Oryzias latipes: one gene and its partner. The protein of the gene in region 2 interacts with the protein of the main gene of each other region in a biochemical or structural test. Links are inferred from orthologs where the notes say so. Each region holds a gene or a part of one and is shown on either strand. Other genes may lie near its edges.

Region 1 (3,756 bases), on a different chromosome or scaffold from region 2:
AACACAAGTTTTTTTTGCATTTATGGTTTCTTTATACTATTTTATAGCATTGGAAAAGGTCCTCCAAATGTCTGATTTCTGGTTTTATTTTATTTTTTTGATGAAATCCAAACAAAATTAAAGTTTAAGCAACCAGCAGCACCAAAAATATGAGGAAAATTATTTTTTTAACATGTTCTTTTAGTGTGCTAATACTAGTTTTTATAAAATAAAATAAAAAAGCTTTAAATAAAACAAAAACTGTTTGTTGGGATGCCTGAATGTTTGTGCAAACTCCTGTGTCAGACTGATCTCCTATTCATCTCCCATGTGTCCACTTGCAGTACCATTTTTTTCTGTCTGTCTTTAAGACGATTCTCTACAAAGCAAGATTCTTTGAGGGGAAAAACTAGGAACTCGCAAAATGTCCAATGAAGGTGTGGCAAAAAATTTTAACAGCACAAAACATGAAATATCAAATACTGTACACAGTTTGTTATTTTTGAATACAGACGTTTTTGTGCAAAACTGAAACAGTTTGTGAACAACACTAACCTTTTAATTTTCCGCTTTCTGACTGCTGGAAAATATGACTTAATATATAATAAATAAATAAACAAACTAATAGAAATGGGATTTATTTATGATTTTATTTTTCTCACATCATAAATACAAGTGAAGGAAATTTCGAGGAAAATAAAACTACTTTCTGTTTAAAACGAGTTCATCTCATCAATACTAATAGACAATAATCTATAATAGATTATAATCTATTTTTGTTATATAAAAATGAAAATAGCAAATAGACGTAAGATCTACTTGTCATTAAACTTGTTTTTCCATCCTTTTGCAATTGTGATTTTCCAAAATTGATGGACAATTGCTTTTAAGAACTTTGGCATGTTGATTCTCCATAATCCAAAATTATAGTTTGTTATTTGTCTTTTTGTTGTTTTTTGTTTTGTAATGATAACAAATGGTAAAAACTTTATATTAAAAAAACTCTATTCAAGTCACTTGAAATACTACTAAGGCTGATTTGACACATTAATTTATTTTAATAATTGACTAAATATATATTTTTAAATACACATGAGTTAAAATGGTTTTGTTAGCCACACGTTTTAGTCTTTTTAAATGTATTAATGCTGCCATCTTTTAGAAGCTGCATTGCCATAGTTTCCCTCTCATACACAAAGTGTGAATATTTCAATTTTTCCCTATTATATAAACTAACTTTAGGAATACAACAAGCAGCAGTGCTCCTTCTCAGACATTCATCTCTCACATGAAAGGTCAGCAGCTCCTGCCTGGAGTTTCACGAGTGGACAAAAATGTTGCGTTCACGGCCGCGGGGTTTCACGGTGATTACTCCGCTTCAGTGGGTTTAACCATGAGTCTCTAACCCGTGACGGTCATGAGGGGCTTTTGTGACCCTCTCTGGTCTTTTAACGAACCGAGGCAAAATATTTCATTTGTGAAAAAACCCACACAGCTCCCTGGATTCTGTCTTTGTGAGGAGGCGTTCGAGAGGAGGACGACGACTTCGCAAACTATCCTACTTGGTATGAACTTTTGGAATATTTTATTTAAAATGTAAGGATACACGACGATGACTCACTTATCTGTATTAATAAAGTTTTATTCAAAATTCCCTTAAACAGTTTTTTATTGCAAAGAAAATGCAAAAAAGGTTGACAATTTATAAGCCCAGTAGTTGTATTTTCTTTAGATTCTGTTTTTTTTTTCACCAGCCAAAAAGTTATGCCAACTTTTTTATTAAAAATATTGACGCAAAAGAGTACTATCCACTCAGTTATCATTTATTTATTTGCAGAATGGAGATCATGATGTGTCTACCATTGACAAAAAGTAGTACACCTGAAGTTTATTTTAAAAAGTATACTTGAGTATAACAAGAGTTCTTTAGAGCATGTACAGTCTGGAAAGTATACTGAGTACTACTTCAGACTTCAAGTAAAAGACTACTAAATGTTAGTAGCAGTCTTTTTAAGTTTACTATAGTGGAAATATAGACCAAGTATACTTAAATGGACTACTTTCTGCTAAGGGTATGTTGTTTTGATCAGTTTTCTGTTGCTTTTTTTTTTTTTTAGCTTGATGGTAGTAGTGTATTTAAGTGTACTACAGTACAAGCAATGACAAAGCATACTTGTATTGTAGTACACTCAGACTCCTTAAAGCGGCTACTTTTTGCCAAGGGTATGTCATTTTTTTTTATCAGCTTTCTGTTGTCTTTTAGCTTGATGTTGTGCAATCACACAGACGGGATGCCTCGTGGAGACTTCAACATTTATTTCACCAGTGGTCGACGAGGAAACGTCAGAGCTGAGGAGTAAGACTTTTAGTTTGAAAATCGGGGAGCTGGAAACAAAGGAGGGCTTTTGTGTCATCTTCAGGTTCAGGCTCTGATGAAGAATGTTTGAGGTGAACTTGCTGCTTTGCTTCTCAGGGCTGTGGGGATTGCTCTGCTCGTGGTCCTCCTTGCAGGCCTCCTCATCCTCGGCTGCTGGTACTTCAAGAAGAGAAGTGGCTATAAAATCATCAGAGTGAGATGATCTCACCTGTTTTGATGAAAAGAAACTTTCACATATTTATGATCACGTCATATGTAGCTTCAATAGTACTGTCCTTTTAGGATAAAATACTAAACAGACTGTATGTTCTCATGATTTTCCTCCTAAAGACCCCCAGATCAGGTTCTCCAGGTTACACAGGAGGTCACTACTCAGAGGGGGGGCCCTCAGCTGATAACAAGATGGCTCTCACAGACTTCGGCAGCTTTCGACCAGTGGTGAGTGATAAAGAGAAATGTTTCGACCAAACGTGTGCCTTAATGAGTTGCTTTATGAAATACTGATTTTTCCTTCTTTGAATGAACATGAAAATCGTTTTTAAGATGAAAGCCTCAGAGTTTAGATTACTGTGTAAAACATGTGAGGTTGATGCAACTCTACGAAGGGCTGAGGGGATTATTATGTCACCAGACGAAAAGGATTAAAAAATCCCTTTCCAGAGGAAAGAAAGGAGACCAAGGGCAAAAAAAAATCAACTTTTTGAATGCTATAATGAATTTCATATGTGTAAAGAGGAATTTTAATATTGCAAACAATGAAGCTTACAACTTTACACATCTAAAGAGACAAAATGCCACTCAAATTGCTGTCTGATTTTAATATATTTACCCCCCTCCCCAGGTTCCTAATGCTCCTCCCGCCTATGAAAAGATTTCTTCAGCACCACTGCCTCCACCCTACTCCCCCTGAACAAGGGCTACGGACTGCTGCCACCACAGAAAGGGGAAAAAACAACAACTTTGAACTTGATTTGGGATTCAGTCAACTCATTTTTTAAGAGGATTCCTGATGCTTCCTAGCTACACGCAATAACACACCCTCTTAAATCTCTTCTTCACACCTTTTATTCTCTTTTGTTCTTTAACAAACAATAAAATGCTGTGTCACAAATAAGTGTATGAAGAGTTGAATCTGCACAACCACGCTTGTTTGGGACAGTTACAGTCTTTATTTTCATGCAGAGATGTCCAAGGTTGCTCAATGAAAATGTACCTCTTATTTTTCTTTTTTAAAAGCTATATGGTAAAAAATAAATAAATGTGACTCCAAAACTTTATATGGACCTAAATGTAGTAAAAATGTATCTATTGATCTACATTTCTAAAAAAAAAAAAAAAAAAACCTTAAATGTAGTATTTAAACAAGTATTTAGAAAAAAAAACAGAACGCAGAAAGTTGA
Region 2 (3,756 bases):
CTGCAAGGACGATGAACATGTCTTTACATACAAAAGTCTTAGACTGGCAAACTAATATACTCCTGATTCTTTCTAAAAAGCATAATCCTGTCATTTAGCAAAGAATTATTTCTTCTCATGGCTTCCACTGGAATCTTTTTAGAATATATCCTGGAAGGATAAATGTGAGTGCAGGCTTGAGTTTACACTGCTCACACTCAGTATTTGCACCACAGTTGTAAACTTTGAGTCAAGTCCTTTAAAAAAAACAAAAAAAAACTTTTAACCAACAGTTTCTAAATTTGCTACGACATATGAAATATGAACACACGCTGACATTTGCATTCAAAACAGAAACTAAGCCAGAGTAACGGGAAGTTCAGATCCATAATATCAGGAATAAAATCCACAGGACTGAATGAACCTTTGAGGAGATAACAAAAAAAGAAGCTAAATGTGACTTTCTTGAACCAAAAATCAGCATCTTTAACTATAAAATAGAGGCAGGAAAATGTCCAAAGTATAATTAACTTTCAATTTGGTGATCAAATATCAAATTAAGAATTTGATTTGCATTATTTTATTTATTTTGTTTTTTTTGAGGACATCTGTCTAGTATGGAAAATATCCAGAGGATTTCAGATTGTGATGAACATTAAAAATGTGCTTATTGGACCCAGATGGTGTTTTTTATTACACTTTAAGAGCCGCTGTAAAGCAATATTTATGCTTGAATCTCACAGACGGGAATGTTCTTTTAGAAAAATGTTTGCCCAACAAACATATGAGCAAGACTAAATCAACAATGACGGCCTTACGCAGGTAAATAAAACACACGATCTGTGTTTCAGCATGGCCAGTTTCCTCCAAACATCTCTGAATAATAGATGGTCCTCAGTCTGTCCGGCCCAGTGACTCAGGGCAACATGGGAGAAAGTAAGGGGCTGATGGGTAAACTTTCACTTTGATCTTTGTCAATAATTTAATGCAACCACCGACTTTGTTGCATAGCAAGAAGACTGACCGTTCTGTCAATGAAGGTGTTTTCCAGATATTAAAATTAAATTCCAACTTGATTTGCTTTTCCATTTTTAACTATCTTTAATCCCTCACAGTCTGATAATTAACATTTGTCTCGCTGTGGATTCCTTACGTGTTACATCTATTTTTATTTTAAAACAAAATCTGCTTTTTATGTCGAAAAAAAAAGAAATCCCTTAGAAATACTAAACTTGTTAACCGTTCACGTCACAGACATACTACCGCCCCATGACTAACACTGTATCAGCAAAACAGGTATAATTACACACTATAGGAATCAGGGCGTTAATCTATGTGCTTACTCAAAATATAGTCCTTTTTAAAGACAACTATCAGACGACTCAATTCATTATAAAGAGAAATGGGGGGGGGGGGGGGGGGGGTCTGGGCCTGTCAACAAGGGGTATAAATATGAAGCACTAACAGCTCAGACACTTTGGTCACGCAATGAGTTAATAAGTGTCCAGCTAAACCTGCAATAAAGACACAGAGGAACACGCCTCGCCGGGTTGCTGATAACTGCTGCTCGCGATCAGGCCTTCTCCAGAGGCTCCACTGATCCTAAGAGGACCAATCTATCCTGCCAGAGGAGATTCACGACACTCCTGAGCAGAAGACATGTCCCATAATGTCAATAAGGACGCCTGACAGGCGCAGTCAGATCGGGCCTCGATCCAACAGCATTTTTTCTTTTACTGCTGATTCACCTTCCTAGGTGGTTATTCCGAGTGTCTAAAGGTAAAATGGTCTATCGATCCTCAGCGTAGGATACTAATAGGTTTTTAAATGTTGTTGCTACGCGGAAAAAACAAAACAAAAACTAATTTCTTTCACTAACATGTCCCACCCAGTGTGGCTAAACAAACCTTACACACATAATTTGCTCCAGCTGAAAGTGTACTGTTTAAGCTAACGCTAACATAGCCGAATTCCTTCACCAAAACGAGAAGGAAACAAACAAAGTGTATAGATGCTGAACATGGAGCGGCTACATTTGCATTGAAGCTGCAGTTGTTATGAACGTGTTGAATGTCAGCTGGACACAAACAACCTGATGCCATCCCACAGAGACGGCTACTAGCTGCTAACCTGTTAGCCTGACGCGGGCTAGCAGGCTGGAGACCCCAAAGTCAGGCAGTCACAGACGGAGAGAAAAGTCCTCTGATTTATCAGGTGAAATTTATCGTCTCACCTTAATCCAGAAGATGGTGTAACGCGCGGCGATCAGGTGGTAAATCCTCGCGGCTTTCGTCGTTGTCGTTTCAGTCAGCCTTCACTTTTAGGAAGTAGAAACTTCCACCATCTTCGTAAGCTCCTGTCACGTGACCGAAACAAGGCGGGGTGCATAGGGTGCGCTCTTCCCCCCTCTGCGCGGTGATTGGACCAGAGGAGTGACGTAGATGAAACGCGTAATCGTGCCTAAACCCATCTCCCTTCCAATCAATTCATAGGAATCTGTTTCTGTAATGTTTCTTTTGTAATACATGTACCATCCCCTGGCATTCACGTTGTTATGACTATTGATCTTGTCACACATATTTGTTGTATTTGTTTTGAACAATAAAGTTTAAAAAAAACAAAACATCTCCCTTATTTTAAATGATATAAATTGGAAAGAATTGCGTGGATCCTATTTTGTATAAATAACAAAATTAAAGAAATACATGAAAAACATTCTACATAACATTTACACCACAAATTTTCAAATATAGAAAATAATTGTCGTTTTTGTATTGATTTCCCCGAATCAGTTCTTCACCTTTTCTGCTTTTGTAAATTTTCCCGTGAATTTTGGAAACGCTTTGTAAACATCAAATTTAATTGTAACATTATTATAAACTTCAAACAAATGCTCACATATTTCAATTCTGATGATAAAAAAGTAGAAAATAGTATGTATTTGTTACTTCTCCAATCTAAATCTTACATACATAAGTGCAGAATAAAAAAAAGAAAACTCCTAATTTATACTATTTAAGATAGAGATGCTTCAGTTTTATGAATACATTAAAAAAATTAACACATCCAAAGAAAGTTACACTGGAACAATTTGTGTTTTCTTTTGTTTGATATGTAATCCCTGCCTCTAAGAAAACTTTGTATTGTAAACATTATTTTTTTTAATTCTCTTTTATATATTTTATGATACTTTATTTCTTATCAGCAAATTCTATTTTTGATACATTTCTGCTACAATTACTACTTGATGTGGATGAGTAAGTTTGGAATGATGGCATTTATTGTTGCTGCTGATGATCTGTTTGATTCCTTGATGTTGTGTTTTGTAATTTAATGTTATGTTCAATAAAGCTTAAAAAAACCCATCTCCCTTATTTACATTCAAGCATTATTGAAATATTACAAATACGAAAATTCAAATGTTTACATAGATTACTTAGACATATTAAAAAAATTCTTGTTCTTCATTTATATTAGTTTACATACATTTCCTTACATACATGAATCTCTGGTATGTTTAAATCTAAGCATTTATGTATGACCACATTTATGTGTGTATTTATACTTTTCCACATGAACATATGTATTGTTTGTTCATTTTTTATAATAATATGTTTTTCAAAAGGTACTCTTGGCAAAAAGTAGTGCACTTGAAGTTTATTTTATTAATTAATCATAATTGAGTATAAGTATAGCAGGTATACTATAGACAATGTACGTATGGTGTAGGAAGTATGACTGAATACTTCTTCAGGCTAAATTGACAACGTTTTTTGT

What was found.
Region 1: the proteins of E3 ubiquitin-protein ligase Itchy (region 2) and mlana form a complex in vitro, tested with the Homo sapiens proteins (2 studies listed by BioGRID and IntAct, with this or other methods). The link is inferred for Oryzias latipes from reciprocal best matches to the Homo sapiens genes ITCH and MLANA.

The regions. Positions count from the first base shown.
Region 1 is NC_019870.2:12,936,193-12,939,948, reverse strand, and holds mlana (melanoma antigen recognized by T-cells 1), read left to right. Parts: upstream 1-1,384; 5' UTR 1,385-1,544; intron 1,545-2,242; 5' UTR 2,243-2,246; coding exon 2,247-2,335; intron 2,336-2,452; coding exon 2,453-2,549; intron 2,550-2,686; coding exon 2,687-2,794; intron 2,795-3,197; coding exon 3,198-3,266; 3' UTR 3,267-3,705; downstream 3,706-3,756. UniProt on the Homo sapiens protein: Involved in melanosome biogenesis by ensuring the stability of GPR143. Plays a vital role in the expression, stability, trafficking, and processing of melanocyte protein PMEL, which is critical to the formation of stage II melanosomes.
Region 2 is NC_019865.2:2,031,317-2,035,072, forward strand, and holds the start of E3 ubiquitin-protein ligase Itchy, read right to left. Parts: upstream 2,359-3,756; 5' UTR 2,213-2,358; intron 1-2,212. UniProt on the Homo sapiens protein: Acts as an Acts as an E3 ubiquitin-protein ligase which accepts ubiquitin from an E2 ubiquitin-conjugating enzyme in the form of a thioester and then directly transfers the ubiquitin to targeted substrates.